Drosophila melanogaster: one gene and its partners. The protein of the gene in region 3 interacts with the protein of the main gene of each other region in a pairwise test. Each region holds a gene or a part of one and is shown on either strand. Other genes may lie near its edges.

The links.
Region 1: the proteins of Arp6 (region 3) and drongo interact in a two-hybrid assay, tested with the Drosophila melanogaster proteins (one large-scale study listed by BioGRID).
Region 2: the proteins of Arp6 (region 3) and CG8366 interact in a two-hybrid assay, tested with the Drosophila melanogaster proteins (one large-scale study listed by BioGRID).
Region 4: the proteins of Arp6 (region 3) and sle interact in a two-hybrid assay, tested with the Drosophila melanogaster proteins (one large-scale study listed by BioGRID).

The regions. Positions count from the first base shown.
Region 1 is NT_033779.5:847,690-852,892, reverse strand, and holds the start of drongo (drongo), read left to right. Parts: upstream 1-1,821; 5' UTR 1,822-2,824; coding exon 2,825-2,994; intron 2,995-5,203. Other genes in the region: CG4291 (uncharacterized protein), read left to right, coding at 264-265, 322-394, 451-1,175, 1,234-1,450.
Region 2 is NT_033778.4:15,952,911-15,957,362, forward strand, and holds CG8366 (uncharacterized protein), read left to right. Parts: upstream 1-2,129; 5' UTR 2,130-2,207; coding exon 2,208-2,344; intron 2,345-2,412; coding exon 2,413-2,606; intron 2,607-2,663; coding exon 2,664-3,700; 3' UTR 3,701-3,726; downstream 3,727-4,452. Other genes in the region: Strn-Mlck (Stretchin-Mlck), read right to left, coding at 1-310, 516-927, 992-1,863, 1,923-1,968, 3,729-3,897.
Region 3 is NC_004354.4:15,734,916-15,738,881, forward strand, and holds Arp6 (Actin-related protein 6), read right to left. Parts: upstream 2,206-3,966; 5' UTR 2,119-2,205; coding exon 922-2,118; 3' UTR 859-921; downstream 1-858. Other genes in the region: MagR (magnetic receptor), read left to right, coding at 184-259, 329-406, 474-577; CG11679 (uncharacterized protein), read right to left, coding at 2,649-3,911.
Region 4 is NT_033777.3:10,331,361-10,339,092, reverse strand, and holds sle (slender lobes), read right to left. Parts: upstream 5,979-7,732; 5' UTR 5,817-5,978; coding exon 5,780-5,816; intron 5,697-5,779; exon of another isoform or gene 5,604-5,696; coding exon of another isoform or gene 5,597-5,603; coding exon 5,510-5,596; intron 5,443-5,509; coding exon 1,934-5,442; intron 1,872-1,933; coding exon 1,650-1,871; intron 1,586-1,649; coding exon 1,148-1,585; 3' UTR 828-1,147; downstream 1-827. Other genes in the region: CG12592 (uncharacterized protein), read right to left, coding at 1-617, 678-690; CG12818 (uncharacterized protein), read right to left, coding at 6,494-7,237, 7,296-7,395, 7,452-7,474.

The DNA of each region.
Region 1 (5,203 bases), on a different chromosome or scaffold from region 3:
GGATCGGGCGAGCTCCTGCCTCGGGGAATCTCAAAAAGCGACTAACTAAAGTCGCAAAGTTTTGCCGATCAACGGAATTCGATTGTCAATAGCTATTGACAGATATGTCGGTTTGGCGGTGGAATGGCTAGAAAGTCAGATACGGAGCTATTGTGCAGCTCCATTCGCGACTGGGTGGCAACTCCCGCACATTGTTTTCATTTGCGATTGCAAACAAAATTTAATATTACTTGTATTCGAAACAATTAAGCTGAGAAATCATCATGTAAGTCTGCGTTATTATCCTCCGGCTTTGCCATAGCTAACTCTCGATTCCAACAGGACGGAGTACTGGAAATCAAACGAGCGCAAGTTCTGCGACTTCTGCAAATGCTGGCTGAGCGACAACAAGGCGGTGAGTCCATAGAATAAACTCGCTTTTCGGCACTCTAATGACCCCTAATCCCGCAGAGCGTCGCCTTCCACGAGAGTGGCAAGCGGCACAAGATGAATGTGGCCAAGCGGATCACGGACATCAGTCGCAACAGCGAGAAATCGGAGCGGGAGCGCCAGAAAATGGACGCGGAGATCCGCAAGATGGAGGAGGCGGCCATGAAGTCGTACGCACAGGATGTCCATTCGCGCGGTGACATGACCGCCAGGTCCATTAACACGGTAATGAGGGCCACCGCCACTGCTGCCGCCTCAGGCGGAGCTCACTCCTTCGCCGGAAGATCACGCCAAGTGGACCCCATGCGCCTGGAAGGATTGTCCGACGAAGAAGAAGACCAGAGGCGGGTGGCTCCCGGCAAGGTAACAAGCGACGCAGCCGTGCCCGAGGCATCCCTCTGGGTGGAGGGCAAGTCGGACGAGGGACACACCTACTATTGGAACGTGAAGACCAATGAATCCGTGTGGAAGCCGCCGAAAGAGGGCTATCTGTCCTACGAGGAGTACGAGCGCATCAACCAGCTGGCCATCGACCAGCAGCAGATCTCCCAGGCCGAGGAATCGCTGAAATTCCGCGCCAATGTCGACGAGGAAGTGGCGAGGGTGAACCGAGAGAAGATGAAAGCCTTCCGCAGGACGGACAATCCCAAGGAAAAGAAGCAGAAGGAGGAGAGGCGTCAGACATTCAAAACGGAGGAAGAGGCGGCCACCAAAGAGATTGGACAGTGGCAAACTGTGGAAGTGAAGTAGGGCCTTCCTACTAGGTTCAAATGCATTTACTGATAAATTTATGGATTTTTGTAGAGCACCTGAGCAGCCCATCGACTGGCAGCTACCCAAAACGGATTACTACAGTGCTGCGCCCGTGGTTTCCGCCTCGAGTGAACCAGAACCTCCAGTCAAGAAGTTCAAGGAAAAGACGATTGGCGGTCTGGATGAGGAGATAGCCGCCACTGCGCCCGCCACGTTCAAGCGGAAATTCATCAGGAAGGGAAACAGCCGCCAGCGCGCCGAGGATTAAGAAGTACTCCATGTGCTTATGTGCATATTTCACCTACTAGTTAGGTTTAGGCATAGGAAATGTTTAGGTTTTTAAGTGTTTGCTTATACCAATTAAAAAGTGAGATGCGTTTAACTAATATTAGATTAAACATAGCTATTGTAGAATTATTATTATCTTTAGTCGACTTGCATTCAATAAATATTTCCCAACATTTTAAATAGTAATATGTTTTTTAAAAAGTTTTAAATTTCGATAACAGTTATCGAATTAGGTTCAATCGGTGTGTGTCTGTGCTTTAGTTGCGGCATATTTAGGTCTTAGAGCTCCGTCCAATTTTAGTGCATTTCCAGCGGCAACACGAGGTATGTTTCTCCCGTCCGCCAACGGTCACTCTGCTGCTGTTGTTGTAGGCGAGCGGTCGGAATTTGCGTCGGAATTGTGTTGAGTCGAGTCGCGCTATTTTGTTTCGAGTGCGCTGTGCTGTTTGGTTTCGTTCCGTTTCGTTTCGCTGTTCGTTTTCCACTCGTCTTCGAATCCGCACTGCAAACAAACAAGGAGAAGGGGAAGCAGCAAAAGTGGCGAGTGCATTCGCAGCGTCGAAATTTCAATTGAAATCTGAAATCTGTGTGGCAATTGCAGCGGCACTCGGTGTAAATAGATTGAATTGAAGCGAAATTCTGCGAGTCGAAGAAGTGAAAAGTAAACAATAACACGGGCAATCGGAAAAGTGGTTTTCGATAAATCGCACCGCACACACACACCTGTCAGTGTGAGTGTCAAAGTGAGTGTGTGAGTGTGCGTCGAAGGAGAGGAAAGGTCAAGCCAAAAATTGCGTAAAGAAAAGGAAAGGAAAGCTTAGAAGAGGGGAAGGGGAATTACGTCAGTTTCGCATTCCCGATAAAAATTTTTGATTCCCTAAACGATCCTGATAGCCAGCCATTACGATAGGCAAAAAACGATAACAGCGGAAATTTACGTCAATTTGGAGCAGAAAGTAAACGATACCAATTCCCGAAAGAATTCAAAAAATCAGGCAAGATTCAGTTCGTGTACGCTTACAACAGCTCCGCGCCCCACGCCGCCTCCTCCTACCGCACCGCCGTCGCCCCCTTTGCGCCCTACGCGGCCGAGCGGTCCACCCACCACCACCCACTCCCGCCCCCCGAGGAGCGGCTGCCCTCGGACACCGAGCAGCTAGCTGGATCCGACGAGGATCGGGCTCAGAGCCACGAAGCGGAAGCGGAGGAATCCGAGGAGGAGCGCGCAGGTAGCGGACCCTCCGTCAGGCCGCTCATCGCAGCAGCAGGAGCAACAACAACGACAACGTCGACGTCAGTAGTACCGGAAGCGGTACAAAGGGCGGCGGCCAAGGGAGCGACAGAGACGGCGACAATGGCGGTGGTGCGCAAGAAACAGGACGACAAGTACCTGCTCGCCCTGCGGGAACTAGTGGCCAGCGGGACGGGGAGCAATCGGCAGTGCTTCGACTGCGGCCAAAAAGGACCAACCTACGTGAACATGACCATCGGATCCTTTGTCTGCACCCGCTGCTCCGGAGTCCTGTAAGTATTTGCCTTCTTGTTGTTGTTTTCTAGTCTGGGATAATGTAGGGTAGATCCAGGAATTAGGCATAAGTCGCCTGCTAGGTGACCTTTGTTATGAGAATGTAACTGTAACTTGGCTATTCATATTTTAGTTATTTCTTTGGTTGTCTCTTTGAGTTTACCAGGTATTCAAGATACCTCTGGAAAATATTTCAAACAATTTCCGATGCACAGATTGATCTAGCTTGAGATTTGTAGAATAAGGATGGTGGGTTATGAACTGACAAATCTCTTAAAATCTTCCACAAGAAGAATCCAGATATACGACATTTATGGTTATGGCTTTCTTGAATGGCTTTTGGTTGAATTCACACATGTTTTTTATCAAAAAGCTGGCTACCTATATACATATTCTGATAACTGCCAAATGGGCTACCCCCACTGCGTTTAGGAGTCATATAAAATATTGCCTTGAGTGTTTCCAAAAATAGAAATGCAAATTGAGAGCTATCAACGTCGATCCGTGGACCTTTCTTGGTCTCCCGTGTTATCTTGACTTGAACCCAGCCAATTTGAACTCGCCTGACGTCCATTTGGGATCTGTGCCCGAGTGGAGTGACCGATAATTTGCGATCGATCGATGCAATGTCCGATCCCGCCCCCCATTATTATTTCGTATTGTGTGTGAAAGCGAAAGCAATTCCCCAACAATTTCGAACAATTTCGCACAATTTGGCTTCCTTTCCTTTTTGAATGCAAATGCAAATCGAAGACAAAACTTTCAATTGCGCGACATCGCGGCGAACGAAATTGTTTTGTCTTCGCCGGCGTCGCTTTCTATTCGTGTTTTTCCGTGGGGAGACGTTTTCGAGAGCCGCCCACCTGGCGGTTGAGTTGTGGGTGTCCTTGGCGCCCCTCAGTTTATTTTTTATTTTTGCCCCTCTAAGTAATTTGGCAAATTGGCTTTGATTTGTGAGCACTATGGCCAAATTGGGGTCATATATGTATTACCACTCCGCCGACACTGCATTTCATTTGATTTACGCATTTCCGGATCAAGCACATTACATGATTGCTCTTAAACTTCCGCTTGGCCCAGGTCCAGAAGCCCAGTCTCCCACGATTCGTGTGCCCCAGATTGTGGCCTCTCAATTGGACAGCATGCGGGTTTCTCCGCTGAGTTATCTCTATCATCGGAACCAGGTTGAAAAGTAGCCAACTGCAATGCGTTCGCCCTGCTGCACTCTGCAGTCCCCAACTCTTGTTTCGATGACTCATTGCCCATTCCTCAGTCTTCGGTGTGCGGTGCTCAATCCTCAATCCTTAGTCCTCAAACCTTGTTGCCAACTGCCAAGGGAAACAAATGTTGGCATGTAAATGAAAAGCCACATAAATGCCGGGGACACCAAGCGATTGCACTGCGAGAAAGGGTTAATGGTTAATTGTAACAAACAATTGGTCCTGTTAGTCGGATACTTCTGCGGTTTTTCAGTTACTAGTCTAACGACGTGCCACGTTTCTGCCGGTGTAGCCAAAAAGGGGTGTGGAAAGGTACTGCAGCAAATGGGGGACTCGGCCGAGGAAGGGGGCGTGGCAGGGGCGACAGCAGGCGACAACGAACTTCCTGGCTGAAAATGAGACTGGAACGTCGACTGCGACAAGGGAGCGAGTGCAGGGAATACCAAATGAAACCAACTCCTCCGACTCACGAAGAAATGGCTGTGCATGTTCGGCCCGCCTTTGGATATTGGAATCCGCTGCAGACCGGCCGGTCACTTGGAGCGCTTAATGGAGGAAGCGGTTCAGGAATGAGAATGGAACTGGCAATGGTAGTGGGTTTCAGAATGGGAATGTCCGCGGTGGCGCGGGGAGGAAAACCCGTCCGACGGCTTTTGCCAGCCACACTCGGTTGTATTTTTGGGCCGAAGTTGCTGCTGCTGTTGCGCCTCCAATTGCAGACAAATTGTTGCACCTCAATCAAGCAGCAGTCGCCGCCATCTGCTGCCACACCGCATTTCGGTTGCTTTGTTTTTTTTTTGTTTTTGTTTTATTTTACTCTTTGGCTTTTGCAGGGTTCAAAGCTTGTGCTGGCTCATAAAAGTCAAGAAACTTGTTGATTAGATAAGGCGAAAGCAAACGGCCATTGGGAGCAGAGCTGAGCAGAGCAGAGCGGAGCAGCAATGGTGAGCCACTTTCTCAGGCTTCGTCATCATTCCCACCGCACACA
Region 2 (4,452 bases), on a different chromosome or scaffold from region 3:
GAAAACACGGGCGTAGAAGAGAGCTTCATCGCCGGATGCGCAGACCACCGGAAGTGGCGTCTTCAGCAGCTGAACACACTCTTCATCCTGGCCACGAAGATCACGCTCCAGGACGCACAGCTCACCGCTGCTGCTGCAATCGCTGCATCCGCTGTTGATTAAGCTGCAGATCGAATGGGAGTCGAAGGTGGAGTCGGAGGTGGAGTCGTTGATGTCGCTGGTAAACACCTGACAGCTGTAGATGCCGGAGTCAATGTCGAAGGCGTCGTTGATTCGCAGGCAGAGGCGTCCATTGCCGTGATCAATGTAACTGCAGTGAGCAATGAAAGTGCCATAAGTATGTGGATAGTTCGAAACAAAGGGAAACCATTCGCTTTTATTATTCAATCCAAGCTAATCGCTGGAAATTGGGTGCTTATAAAAAACTGAGCAATTTAACAATGTTTTTATAACTAATTATGTATTCAAGTTATTACAACTCAATATATTTCAATGAACTAAAGATTTATACTCACTTGAACTCATCGCTGTCTGGCAGAATCTCGCCATTTCGCAACCAAACGTAGCTGTAGGGTTCATCGCATTCGATGGAGCAGCACAGATCGATCACCTCGCCCTCCAGCGATTTAGTAATCTCGGGCAGTCGTTCCGTGATGACAGCACGACGCCTGCGAATCTCCGTATTCGAGTCGTGGAAGGTGACGGTGGTGGAAGTGATGAGGGGATCGTGGTCGCCGCTTATGATGCAGGTGTACTGGCCTTCATCCTCGCGCGTCACATTGTCCACTATGAGCAGGGCCATCGAGTCCTGCAGCAGGATGTGAACTCGTTCCGAGGCCTCGAGCTCCACGTCGTTGTGATAGAATCTCACCGAGGGCACCGACGAACCCCGATAGCCACTTGCCAGAGCCATGCGTCCGCCAATTGCTGTGGGTGGCATGGTATCAATTGAAATAGTTAAGCTGTAAATTGGGCAAGGAGCAGCACCCACCTGTGGATGGACCCATGATGCGCCTGTACAAGTGGGCATTACGGCGGGAGGAGGAGGCACGCACGCTGCGCACCGAAGGCGACTTGGAGTAGCGGGAGCTGCGGATGACGTCCAAGCGAGCGGTGGCCTCAATACGACCGAAATCGTTCTCCAGCGTGACGCGATACAGGCCGGCATCGTCGAAGGTCACCTCATCGATCTCTATGATGCGAAGGTCATCGATTTCCTTGACGGCAATGCGCGGCGTGGGTGTCACAATCAGGCCATCCTTGTCCCATGTCGCCCACGGTGTGGGATGTCCGGAGATGGCGCACTGGAAGCGCACACTGTCGCCCTCCTCGACGACGCGATTGTAGGGAATGGCGAGAAACTTTGGCGCCGTGATGGCATTCCGGGCATCACTACGCCTGCGTTCCGCCACGCCGGACAGATCGATGCTGCTGGTGCGGTACGATAGGCGCAGGGGAGAGAAACTTCTGGCGGGCGTGGATCTCGGCGTAGAACGGGGCGTGGAGTGGGCGGAGAGCAGGCCACTGGGACGCGCTAGCTGGCGGCTGAGCATATTCTCCTTCTCCTCGGGCACATCCACTATAATGCAGGCGGAAGAGAGACTGCGACCCACCGAGTTCTTGGCCACGCACGTGTACTCGCCCTCATCCTCTGGATATACGCGCGGTATGCTCAGCGTTGCCTTGGTTCCATCGAAAGACATCACGTAGTCCCGATCGCTGGGCATAACATGCCCATCCTTTTCCCAGATGATGAACGGCTCCGGATCGGCCTCAACGTGACATTCCAGCGATATCGCATCCCCATCGCAACAGCGGAGGTTTCGCAAGTTGCGAACGAATCGGGGAAGGGTCTCGATGTTGCTGATTAATTGTTAAAGCTTGTTAATGACAACATATCTTGATAATAAGCTTGAACTTACCCATGTCTCGTGTGCACTTTATCCATGCGGCTTTTGTTGAGTATATCTATTGAAAAAAAGATATTATGCATTAGCACTTTGACTTAGTAAAAAAATATTGCATTTCGAAATTGGCGCCCATTAAACTGCTTGCCAAGCAGTGGTGATTAGTGTCTTGGCTATTTTTGTCAGATTCTTGCAAGAGTGCGAATATATCGATAATCGATAGCAGCTGTGGCCCAATGTTTATTTTTAGCACACCATCTAATTTTCTACTTCTTGTACTCAAATTTTGGTTAAAACAAAATGAGGGGCATGATAATTGTGCCCATGGACCTGGAACCCGGCTTCCGCAAAGCAGACATACACAATATACCCGCTTTGAACAGCGGAATGGTGTACAATTTTTGTCTATCCGGCGCATCTGAGAAATCAAAACAAATGTGAGTGCCATCCCGTTCGCACATATACCTACTGTGTATTCTATTAAAAATTGAATTTTTGCCAACAGACCAACGAATAGATGTGATCTCCTCACGGATTACGTCCAGGTGCGCAGACATGGCGACGTGTGCGAACTCAAGGGACTCGTGTTTTCTGCCACCGACTTCGCCAACACGGTAACTCACGCCAATGTATCGCTTAAGATCGTCGAAAGTGCTCAGATGATCATGGACGGTCAATGCAGCCTGTGCACTGCAGCATGTGAGAATGACTCCATTTGCCACTAATGTCTAGTTCCTAATCTTTAGTACATTACAGGTACTTGTGCCCACATCGTGGCCTTCACCTTCTGGCTGCTAAACAAGAGCACAGATCGAAATCCCTCGGCTGTGGTGGAGTTTTGGGGCCACGAGTTGGAAAATCTGGTGCAACCGGAGCCCACAACTGCTACTCGAATATGTGATATAATTCCCAAGGATGATGTGCGAATGGAAAGCGAACTAAACTCGAAAGAACTTAGCGCCAGCGAGGGAGAGGCTTTCCTAGTGACCATTCTGAATGAACTGGCCGACTGTGGCAGGGACTCGGCGCTCTACCGGCAATGTGTGGAGACCACCGATGAGTTCGAGCCCATGTTCGTACACCATGTGCTGCTCCGAGCAAATGAGTACAATGTCGTCGATCCGTCCAGCTATGTGCAACACATGGAGGCACAGGCACATACGGGTATTATCGAAAGTCTGTACGAGGCAACGCGAAGCAAATACAAATCCCGATTGTGGGTGGAGGTACAGTATATGCGCATCCGTTGCTCCATGATGCACATGATCATAAGCCGCAAAACCTCTGATGATGACGATCAAATCTTCAATATGATGTTTTGCAGAGGACGTGACAAGAATAACGAGGATCGGGTGCAGCAGAAGGAGCACAAGCGCTTCATATTGAAACAGACTGAGAAGCTGGAGAACAAGAACTACTTAGAATGCGGTCTGATCCTGCACGAGAACTTCCCCTTCCTGTGCGCCGCCCCTGATGGCATCACGGACGATCACATTGTCGAAATCAAATCACCAAAGACTGACGAGGACTTCGAGAAGTACCTCGAGGCACGCGAATCTATTGCACCCAAGTACATGGCCCAAATACAAATCCAGATGTTTGCGGCGAATGTTAAAAAGGCGCTCTACTGCGTGCTAAGTCCCACGTTCGAGAGCAACGGAGCACTACACTACGTTTGGGTACAAGCGGATCCGGAATTCGTTAGCAGTTTGCTGAGCATGGCTGAAGACTTCTGGCGGGACGTTGTCTTTCCCCGCCTATTGAATATCTACCCCCAGTGCCCAGGTCAATAAATACATACACATTCACTGTGCTGCTTACCTTTGGCGAATATTTGTAGCGATATTACAGCCTTGGCCTCGCCATGGCAATTGCTGGCTATCACGGAATAGGTGCCGGTGAAATCCAATTTGGCGCTGGGTATCTCCAGCCTGTACTCGGGTCCGTCTCCAATTCGCCGGAAGTGTGGCGCGTCCTTGTAGTACTCCGGCTGCGGGCGAAAGAAAATGTTCGGCGATCAGTGGGTCGAATTGCTCAAGGTCACGTCGCGATGTGCTTGGACTATAAGGACTTGTTGTGCGGCTGTCGCAGATCATGAATCACGACTGTCTTTATACAAATGTCGATGCCGTTGACGCTGACTCGACCGACGTTGTTATTATTGTGTTAAGCTTATGGCCATATAAGCACAAAATTCAGTTTCGAGACTGTCGAATAGGAAAACTGGTAATGGGTATACGTTGCCCACCCTGACCTCCTACTCCTCCTGCCTGCCTGCCTGCCTGCTCGCTCGCTTCCTTGGTCGACTTCGTGCGCGACAGTGGCTAATAATATTTTTTTGTGTATTTTTTTCCTTTTTGGCTCGCGTAATTGTTTGTTGTGCGAACAAGCCTGTTATTTGATATGGGTTGAACTTGAATTAGCGTTTGACAGCGAATCGGATTTGTAAGATCTGTCTGAGTGGCCAGTGGTCTTGTATAACGCCGTTGCACCATTTCAGTATGACGCACTTGTCCGTAATCCGAGCCAGTTGGGGCAGCACCCT
Region 3 (3,966 bases):
CGACCAAATTTTGATGAGCATGTTTATCTTGTTGTTAATCATTTAGTTTTTAAGTGATTAAATTCTTTGAATTGAGACAGACTTATTAGAATACCGAGTTCTTTGTCTTTGGTCAATAAACAAGGCTGCCTATAAATTAGCCACACAGTTAATGACAGAAATTCGATGTTGTTTCTGCCACAGGTTGGCCTAAAGGTGGGCGTACGGCAGCGAGGATGCAATGGTCTGTCCTACACGCTGGACTATGCCAGCCAAAAAGGTAAGCCACTCTGGACAGAATGTTGTTCGGTGGAGATCTAATGCTGCGTTCTGTGTCGATTTTTGCCAGCAGACAAGTTGGATGAGGAGGTGGTCCAGGATGGCGTCAAGGTCTTCATCGACAAGAAAGCGCAGTTGTCGCTGCTGGGTAAGTTCATACCAGCTTAGCATAGCATTGGACAAGCCAGCTAATACAGAGTATAATTCGCTTGCAGGTACCGAGATGGACTTTGTGGAATCGAAGCTGTCCAGCGAGTTCGTGTTTAACAATCCGAACATTAAGGGCACATGCGGCTGCGGCGAATCGTTCAGCATGTAAACCGATGGAGATCCGGAGGAGATCCGCCGGCACCCGCCTCGCAGACAGACCTAAATTAACTAAGTTAAATGCAGTACGCGGCCCGACCTTGTATCTCATTACGTTGTTGGCAAAAGCACCGCATCCTTTGTAAATTTTACTTCGCAAACGAATTCTAAATATTAAGTTGTGTTCTATAGTTAAATTTTAGTTGTAGCGCTAGGTAAGTGACGCACCCGCTTCCTTGCCGCAGGCTGGCAGTTTGTCCTCTTTAGCCCTAGTTCAATATATAGACAAGGAATGTTCTAGAAAACCCATGTGCAAATCAAGTTTATTATTGAAAAAATACTTCGACTACGTGCATGTTACCGCTGATTGATACCCTGGAAACCGTACTCCTCGTAGTCGTCTTGCGTGTAAACAAACTCTTCAAAGTTGGGGCTGGTCGCAACCTCCTTGCCGCCGTACCACGCGTACCGCACCGGATCCTCGGGACAGATGAGTGACACTTCAAGATCGTCGGGCACCAGGGCACGTAAATCGCGCTTTAGGCGCGGCAGAAATCCCGGAAACTGGGCACTGCCGCCCACAATAAGGATGTTGAGCAGGAGTTCGCGGTGCGCTTCCCAGGGGCAAGCCTTCAGACAATCGGCCACCGCTTCCGGAATGCCCACCTGTTGCACACCAATGTCCGAGGGATTGAAGAGCAGCTCGGGCACGGTGAAACGTTCATTGCACAGCGACACCATTTGCTGTTGCTCCTCATCCTCGCGCGGCTTTCCGGGAACACGAACATAGCCCCGTTTGACGGTGGTGAAGTCTGGAAGGACATAATCAACTGTGACTTCGCGTCGCTTCTCCTCCGAATAATGCACCTGCATCGCCTGCTTGAAGTCCTCCGCCACAAAGCAGACATCTTCCTTGATCTGGTTAACTACATGACTCTCGTCCATGACGTTTAGGTGGCGATAAGAGATTAGCTCCTTTAGCTGGTTGGTCAGCGCCTTCCCGCCCATGTCGATGCGTCGTATGCCTTGGAGAACGCGCCGTCCCAGCACAAAAGGAACAACGTGGGTGAAACTGTAGCCTACATCGATGATGATGCAGTTAAGCGATTCCATTGTAGTCCGCTCCTCGCTGTCAGCCACATAGTTAAAGGCAGCCAGATCGGCAGCAGTGGTCTTGTACACCCCATCAACCTTGTACTCCTCAAACAGAATCTCCAGCGTTGCCTCCTGGATGCTCTGGAAGTTCATCTGCGGCTCAGTGATGACAATATTGCGGTTCTCCAGCGAACAACCAATGCCGTCCTTGCTGAATATGTAATCCCACACCGTTTTCTGTGTGTGCCAGTTGAGCAGGTAGCCGCGCTGGAACGCCAGAATGTAATAGAGCGCCGATGTGTCCCGGCATTCATCTATCTGATTTCCCACAAAAGCGCGTCGCCGCTCGCTCTTTGCTTTCATGATGCAGTTGGGCACCACATGGGGCTCATCCTGATTGGCCAGGCCCACTTTCGCCGTATGCGCTCCGTTGTCCAACACCACCACAGCGTTGGCCATCCTTTTCGTCCTCAACGTAGATCTATACCATTTTTCGGAAGAGGACAACAAACAACACTTCTTCTGTTCTAGTGCTGTCGATTAATTTGTTCAATCTATCGAGATTTTTAAAATCGTTATTTTTGGTGTTTTAACGGTCTACATCAAATTAAATAAGGAAAACAAAAACAAAATGAAAACACAAGAAACAACTTTTTGGAATGCTAATAATTCTATATTTCAGCAAAATACAAATACACATACAATAAAATTATAATATTCTCGATGTAGATCTATAGCATTTTTCGACAGAGGAAAAGAAATGACACTTCGTCTGCTTTAGTGCTGTCGATTAATCTAGCCATTTTTTTAAATTGGATCTAGTGAGAATTTTAAAATCGTAATGTTTGGTGTTTTTAACGGGCAACAACAAATTAAAAAGGACAAAAAAAAAATAGAGCACAGATCAAACAAACTTTTGGAACGCTAACAATTCTATATTTCGTCAAAATACAAATATAGTACAAAAAACTATCGACCAAGCCTACTTGCTAATTGGGAATCGAGGCGGCAGGAGCAGCCAGTGGCAGGACCTCTAGCTTATGCGAATCACTGTGATCGCTGACGAAGTGCAGCACTTCGAAGCCCACCTCTACCATGATCAGGATTATGATCATCCACTCGAGCCGGATATGATGGGCATCGTTCAGATTGTGGGACACCAGCTCGGCCAGTTCCACGCAGTGGTTGATCTTCTCGTTCATCACCTTGGTGCGCCGTGAGATGCTGAAGTAGGAGCACACCTGCAGGTAGAGTGCCTCCAGTTCCTCGCGGTCCCAGTAGAAATCGGGTGCATCCAGCAGATCCGACGACAGGTTGATCACATGACGCAGGGCAAATAATTCACCGGTTTTTCGCAGCATGGCCGCCCGCGAGATTCTTAATCGGCGACCACGCTTTAGATCCTCGGTGAGATGCTCTATGGAGTCTATGTAGCGGTCCAGTGTCGCCTCCCACATGCCCAGCTTTATTGACTGTGCCATCGCATTGGAGAAGGTGTACTTATACAGGAAACTATCCGTATCGGCGGTAACAAAGAACTTGCCATTCTGGAAGAATGCCCGTGACGTGACATTGAAGTCGCTGCTCTCCGCCACCAGATCGCCCTCCACATCCACCGCCGTCGATGGAATGTAGGTGTAGGGCATCACCTCGCTCTCCCCGTGAACCAGGGCACTCACATACGATTCCCTTTCGAAGGCGCGCAGGAAACTTAGCACATTGTTCGTCTCGATGTCGCTGCAGTTCCAAAAGACCACCGAGCCCTCGCGGAAGAAGAATATCTCCCGCGGCTGCTGACCCGTCGGATATTTGGCCGCCACAAAGAGCACATTCTGCTCCACGTCCAGATTGTCTGTGGAGAAGAAACGCTTCGTCTCGTACAGGTTCTGTTCGCGGAGGGCTATCTGCAGATCCTCCAGATTGTACTCCTCGGCGGTCGTATAACCACGGGTGTTGAGAAACCCCAAAGCGGACAGTTCATCGATGGCCAAGCGCTTCTTTCGAATGATCCTGGTGCGAATGGGCGATAGTATCGACTCCAAGCGCTCCTCGGCTAGCGGCAATGGCTTTACCCGCGGTTGCGTTTGAGTTCTAGGTACAGAAGCTGCTTGAGCTGGCGCCGCAGCCGATGAGGTGGCTTCACTGGCCAACCATCGGCGGCGGTCCATCATCCACTGCGTCTGCGTCTGCTGGCGCGGAATTCGAAGTCCTCCAAGGACCATCTGCCCGAATCTCAGGCGTGCAAAGTTCATGGCTTTTGATTTATGCTCCAGCAGCAATTAGTGGCCCATTTCTGGGAGTTGAGAT
Region 4 (7,732 bases), on a different chromosome or scaffold from region 3:
TCTGTTGTTCTTGGCTCCAACCTTCTCTGTCTTCTCCTCCTCGTCGTGATCCGAGGAGTCTACCTCCATGACGCTGATATCGAGTTGCGTTTCTGTCTTGTTAAACCGCTCCGATTTGTTCAGTTCGTTGAGAGCGACTTGGCGAGATCTTTCCAGCTCGGTTTCCGAGATGGAAGATTTTTCCTCACTGACGTTTAACAGTTGGGCCGCTTCGCTCAATTTACTGGCATTGGATGAGCAGTTACTTTGGTTTTTGGGCTTCTCTGTTTTGTTCTCACTTGAGTCGTCATTGGTCTGAACTTTTCCATCATGTTCTTCATCACTGGGGCTCGCTATAATAATGCGGCGACGTTTCACGCTATCCTTCTTCCGAACCGGTGGTAAATGCTTCTTGGTCTGGACCTTCTTTTTGGGAGTTCTTTCGAACGATTTCTCCAACTTAATGCGTTTCCTCATCTGTCGCAAACCTATTCTCTCAAGTTCTTCTGAAAGATCCGAGAAACTGTCCGAAATGCGTTTGCGCTTCGAAAATTCTTTGAATTTGCTGGCCACAGAAGAGGATAGCGACGAAGACAGTTCATCCTGGATGTAGGCTGCATCGCCAATTTTTGCATTGACTAAAAGCAAAAATCGAAATAGGATACTAAATCTTGAGAATAGAATAGCATTTTACTTACAAATTGTTCGCATTGCGAAATGGTGAGCCATATGTGAAAAAATATGAAAAGTTTTGTGCAACATGACGGACAGGCAACCGCCAGCCTACTTTTCCAGAGAATTGTCCCCGAATGTTCGGACCCGTAATAAAAAGTTTCCTCCTTCATTTTGTATTTGTATGGGTAGGCTTTATTTTCTGTTTCTCAGATGCTCAAAAAAAAAGGGGACAAGTTCGAAAATTTCTTAATTGATTTCATATCTTGATTGGATCAACAACCAACTTGCTAGCGTTAAGTGTGGTTAAGTGATGTGCAATTGAACAAAATAATAATATATGGCAAAGAGCAAGGGCTTGCGTAACAAATAACCAATAGAACAAATAATAGAATCAAATTCAATCGGGGAAATGCTAATGAAAAGAAACAAAAACTGAAGTATGCATTGTGTACACTTAACATTTCCACTAATTTTTCTCTAAATGTAATGTATCCTAAGATCTGCGAGCAAAGATCTGCTCCTTGAAGCGCAGCGCCGCCTGTTTGGCGGAATTGTGTTCGACCTTTGGTGCTGCGTGCTTGGCCCGCTTCCTTGACATCCCGGAGGGTCCTGGCTCCTCGCGGAACCCATGCATTTTCGGTGTGGGCGGCAGCTCGCGGAAATACTTCTGTTTGGGTGTGCACGGCTCAACTCGAACCATGCCCGAACTTGTCTTAATCAGCTCGATTTTGGGAACTTTAGTGGGCGGCTCATCGACCACCGTCACGTAGCCAGCATTTGTTCGAATACGATGGCCGTGGTTCTCCTCATCGGAACTCTTTAGCGGTGATGCCTCCTGGGGCTTTTGCTTCTTCTTCCCCTTCTTCTGTTTGGCTGATTTCTTGTCCACCACTGGCGGCTGTGGCGACAATTTGCGCGAGAGCGTGCGTGGCTGCGGAGGAGCAAGGACTTTTGGTTATACTCTTATTATTTGTAGGCGACTAACTAACGCTTACCTCTGCTTCGGTGGCTTTTGGTGGCGCCAGAAGATTAACAGCATGACTCACAGCCTGGCGCGCTGCCTGTAGGCGCTTTACATCCTTCTTCAGCGCCGGTGGCTGCTTGGACGATTTCGCTGTGTTGGTTTCCGATTCTGAGCCGATGGTGCCCAGGAGCTTGGATGGCGCTTGCGCAGCAATTCGCTTTGGCTTCTTTTGCTTTGCTCCGCTGGCAAGATGCTATAAAATATAAGCGAATTTAGTGTGAATCGTAAAGGAGATTTTTTATTTAAGAAACTGACCTCTTTCTTTTCCTTTAACTTAGCCTCGTTGGCAGCTTCCAGGAGGTTGTGACAGTATGCCAAGTAATATTCGGCAGTCTTCTCCACCTTGACCGGCGCCATACCCTTCGGTTTTGAAGTCACAATTTCTGTCGGTCTTTCCTCGGATCGCGGTGAATCGCAAGTTTTCGGCTTCTCCATGAGAAGCTCCTCAACGGCGACAGTTTCTTCTTCTTCAGGTAATTCCGACGCAGATGGTTTCTCAGATGAAGTAGTGGGCTTTTCTTCAATAGGAACTTCACCATTCGAGACTTCCCCGTCGCTGTGATGTTCCTCGGCGACAGTCATTGTTTCGTTTTCGTTGTCCTCCTCCATTGAATCCGTGGAAGCACCATGTGAGCTCTTAAGGCGCTTGCGCTCGTGCTTAATCTCCATTTCCTCAAGATCCTCTGGTGCGCCTGATAGGCTTTTCGACAGGCGCTTGCGCTTGTTTTTCTGCCTCTTTTTCTCGGCCACCATGTCAACAAAGGACTGCGAGGGGCAGAAGTCATTGCCAACTTCAACCCGTTCACTACGGCGTCTCAGTTTGGGATTCTTGGCTGCCAGCTCGGGACTGGGGACATGTAAGGACTGGCGGCGGGATTTCTGTAGAGGGTTAAACATTTTTTCCAAATGGCTTAGATCACTAGAGGCCAATTCGGCGAGCAGAGCTTCTTCATCCGCAGTTGAAATTATGGATTTTTTGATTGTGGAAGGGCTTTTGATTTCAGATGGTTTATCTTCATCAGACATCTCGGTTTCGGCTTGTTTGTCTTTATCAGACTTCCCGTTTTCGGCCGGTTTGTCCTTATCAGACTCCTCGTTTTTACCAGCCTCCTTAGGGTCTTCAGTTTCATAAGAATCCATTATTTCGTATACGCTTTTGTTGCCTTTGGCTCCAGACATTTGGTCCATGAAAGATGTAGATTTTTTAATTTCGGAATGGTTTTCGCTTTCAGCTGGTTTATCTGCATCACTTTGGTCTTGATCTTGCTCTTCCCCGTCATCAGAATCCACGATTTCGTACAGGCTTCTGTTGTTCTTGGCTCCAACCTTCTCTGTCTTCTCCTCCTCGTCGTGATCCGAGGAGTCTACCTCCATGACGCTGATATCGAGTTGCGTTTCTGTCTTGTTAAACCGCTCCGATTTGTTCAGTTCGTTGAGAGCGACTTGGCGAGATCTTTCCAGCTCGGTTTCCGAGATGGAAGATTTTTCCTCACTGACGTTTAACAGTTGGGCCGCTTCGCTCAATTTACTGGCATTGGATGAGCAGTTACTTTGGTTTTTGGGCTTCTCTGTTTTGTTCTCACTTGAGTCGTCATTGCTCTGAACTTTTCCATCATGTTCTTCATCACTGGGGCTCGCAATAATAATGCGGCGACGTTTCACGCTAGACCTCTCAGCTTGTTCAGATTCTTCAGCGTCTTCAATTTCATCCTCGCCAGAGGAGTAGCAAAGCTGTCCTAAATCTTCCTCGTCTTCGTTGTCCGATACAATAAACGAATCGTCGCCATCAGATTCTTCTGGGGTAGACTCCTCAGTATCTTTACTGCCAACGGACTCCCCATCGATTGGAATTTCATTCTCCTCCATTTCCCGGCGAAGCGAACTGTCCATCGAATCTCCAGACATGTAATCTTTCCCAGCATCTTCAGCTTCTAGGTCCACAAATTCGGAAATGGATTTGTCTTCTTCGTGCTCCTCCTCGTTTTCTTCTTCATTCCCGTGGTCTTCAACATCTTCCTCAAAGCTTTCTAGACGAGCCAGGATTTTATTCTCAGCCTTTTGCTTTGACATGGGTGATTGTTCCACCATCTCATCCTTAGCATTCTTTGATTCCAGCTCATCGAATGGCTTGATAGCATCAATTTGAGGAGGTGCTGGATGCAATTCCTCCGTGCTGTTGGACAGGCCACGTTCCTGATCTTTTAATATTGGTGTGGAACTATTACGACCCTTTTGCAGAGCCAGTTTTAAGGGCGTCTCCGGCTTGGGGGTTAGAATGCGACAAACTGGCACCTTCTCACGTCCTGGAGTCTTGGGAAACCGTTTCTTTTCTACCTCTAAGTCATCAGTGTCGTTGTTGAAGTCCACCGATTTTTTTTGCTCCACAGCAGGAGAACGCACAGCACGAGCTCTTATGCTGGGCAGATGTATAACCTCGGTAACATCGATTTTGTTTTGCTTGTCATCATCCATTGAATCATCTGGGTGTACTTCCTTACTGTCTTCGACATATTTTGGAGCTTCCGACGGAAATACCGGCTCATCGTCGTCGAGGTCTACAAACTCCAGTTCTTTTGGTTTCTCTACTGGCTCATCGGTTTGTGGCTCTAACTGAACAATCGAATCTTCTGCATCCAAAAACTCTTGGTCCTCCATGGACTCATCTTTTTCTGGGCTTGTGTCCATTAAGTCAACAGTAGAAACGTTTTGTGGAGTATCTCTTTTCTTTTCTATTTGAGGATGATCAATCAGTTGCTGAGTTTCTACTTTGCTTTCAATTATAGGGGGTTCAATCTTCTGGGGAGTTTCGGTTTTCGTTTTAATTTCATTGTCTACCCCAACGGGCTCGTCTTTTTCTTTAATTTCAGGAGTGCCAACAGTATGGACTTTCTGCAGAGTCTCGATTTTTCTTTCAACTTTGGGGGACTCGACGCGTAGTGTTTCAAACACATCATCCATGTTTTCTTCAATTTTCTTGGATGTCGAGGTTGGAGTTATTTTTGTAATTGTATCTGCGCTCTCATCAGGGTGAAGAGCTTTACTTGAACCTTGAATTTTCGAAAGTGTAGTAAATGACTTCAGGAATGATTGTTTGCCAGCATCCTTGTCAGGTTGGGCTGATTCGTGTGTTTCTGGTGCCTGTGAATGGGCTTCAGTGATAGATTTATTTTGCTCCTCAACAACTCCATTATCCTTGAGTTCATCCGGTACAATCAATGGCTTCGCCTTTTCCATCTTCTTGCCAGAGAATTTGTCCATTGAAAGTTTCTCGAGCCTGACTGCCACTTTGGGAGTGGTTTTAATATTGGGTTTAGCTTTTTGCTCAACTTTGGGTGAATCGTTAAGATCACGAGGCGTATTACTGGACGAACGAGTGGGCATTGGTGGAGTCTGAGACATTGAACGCGTCACTCGTTTCTCATCACTCTGCTGATTGGGTGTGAGTGTTCGCCCTGGACTCGGACTGACACTGGGCTTCCGCTGTGCCTTTCCCTTGCCCTCTTTGGGCACAGGGCTTGGACTGGGGCTGGGCTTTTCCTGCTTGACCTCATTTTCCTCAGGTTCCTCTGTTAGTGTAAGCTGTTGGCGCACAGATCTGGTGTTTTTAGCTGGCGTGCGAGCTGTCCTTTTCACGGAAGAGGGCGTCGTCGGCTCGGGAGTTTCACCGCGTGCCAAGGATGCGCGCCTGGTTCGTGTTGGAGTCCTCACATCTAAAGTGGACGAGTTCAGACGTGTGCGACGTGTGGCACGTGGCGAAGCGGTACCTTTTGAAGCGAGAAATAATATTCTTAGACTTGAAACAACCGGGATCCGAGTTGGGCCACAACTTACCGAGTTCCGCAACCGTATCCAACTGCGGAGTGCTCGGACGACTGTCCGTTTCCAGAAGGGACAAGCGACGAGTTCTAGCCCGGGTCACTACCATATTTATTGGATTAAACGGATAAACGAAAAAATGAATAATGTGTAAGAATAAATTTTATTCGATCGAATGCAAAGGCGACCTGCTTGAGATAGGAGCCCCCCGTTAATGGCTGACTTTGGAGCGCCGGTTTACTTGTCCCGTTGCTTTTTCAGCACAGCACGCTTAGATTCACTCACCGCGCTTTCCATCTGTGTTCTCCGTATTATCATCCATTTGGCCCGGCTCTTTTGTTTTTCGCACACAACAATTAATTGAAATCAAGAGAGTTTCGAACCCGCATGCAAATTATAACAAAGAAATAGAAACGAAGACGCCAAGACGCCGAGCCAAAAAGTGATTTTCACATGTGCCGCAAACTGCGACGTTCTCTAACACTGCAGCCGGCTGTTGAGCATTTGTGTGGCGGCCGTTAGAATTCAAACTAGTATAGTTTCGGGGCTAAATTCAATGTGTCGATAGCCTAATATCACCTTCAACTGATGAATTATCTTAAATTAAATTTTATTCGAAATTAGGTTTCTATCTTCTTATTTTAAGTGCAAAATCACTTAATAGTTCGTCCGATTTAGACGCTGTGCAGCATTGGCCTGTTTCGGCACCGATAAAGTAGCCGATATCATTTAAGCGGAATTATCGCGAAATCTAAATTTAAACCATGACCAAACCGCCAAGACTTCTTGTAACGGTTGAATAACTGGATATTAAAGCGATGTGTTTATACATATGTATGTATTTATAAAAGTACAAATATTTGACGATAATCATTTTTATATTTAAACAAAGAGTATTTTTTTAGACAATTCAATAATAAAGTGTAATTTCTATTTATTTGCTTAGTGATTATATTCATAATCAGGCTGTTAACATTAAGTTGAAAACATAATTAATGGCTAGAGCATATTTTGCTTTGCTAACTCCGGATTAAACTGACTGTTGTACTTTTGGACAACCTTAGGCGTCGAAGCCGGCGTGGATTCGGCACTGGCAGCCACCGGCAGCTCCTTGGGTGCGAACAGAGCCTCGGAACGCTGGCGTTCCGCTGTTTCCCGTCGCATGCGCTCCCTTCTTAGCGTCTCGAGCTTTTCTCGTTTTATGCGTTCCTCGGCCAAAAGGGTCTCCCTTGAACCATTTTTGCTCTTGTGCTTCTTCTTATCTTTCTTGGATTTCTTGTCCTTGTGGGGTATTGAAGGTTCCTGAGAAGGCGCGGGTGTCCTTTCGCGAATTCTTTTTGTGGCCTTTTTGGGATCCTTTTTTTCTGGCGGCAACAAAGCATTAATTAGGGTCAGAGGATCGTGGGCTAGCTTTTGCTTATGATGAGTTTCAGTAGCTGTGGGATCCCCAACTTCTGGTCTTTTGGGGGCTAACTCGTACCAGCTGCGCACTTTCAAAGCTTCATTGGTGTCCTGGCCCAAGTAGGTGAGGTAGCCGATCTGCTTCTCATACTTCTCCTGCTCCTCCTTTTGCTCCTTTTCCAAGTCTTTGTTAGTGGTCTTCACTCTCGCCTTGTAGTCGGCAAAGAGATCCACCCCTTTGGTTGTTTCAGTACTGCATTGCGACTCCTCTCGAGATTCCTTGGAGGCCTTCTCCGGCAAGCCCGATTGGCGGCGCAGGAAGTTGATTCGTGCCTCGCTTTCCTATTTGATAAAAGTACACATTACTATGTTAAATTGACGATATTTGGGCAATACCCACAGCAAATTCCAATTTCTCCTGCCGGACTTTTTCTTCTGCTGCGGCAGCCGCTTGATCCCGGCGCACGCGGGCAATGTTCTCCTTGGTACGCACATGCCAGCTAAGAAATACACGTGAATTGATGAGAGGTATCTTTAGAATCAGTATAAAACTTACCGTTTTTTTGGTAAAATATTCATTTTATTTCCACTTTGTTGACATTCCTGTAATCGATTACTCGATAGGCATCTCTGTCTATCGAATGGCTCTGAATTATCGAATGCCCTAAGCGCAGTAGGCCGAATTTGTTGCTCTCTAGCTTGAAAAGTGGACTATTTTATTTATTTTTTAAATGTGTTTACTTTGCTGACTTGACGTGGCCACACCCACTTACACTCGCGCGCCCCCTGGGCACTCGATTAATTTTTGGCATTCACAGGCGATTGCTAGCAATCGAA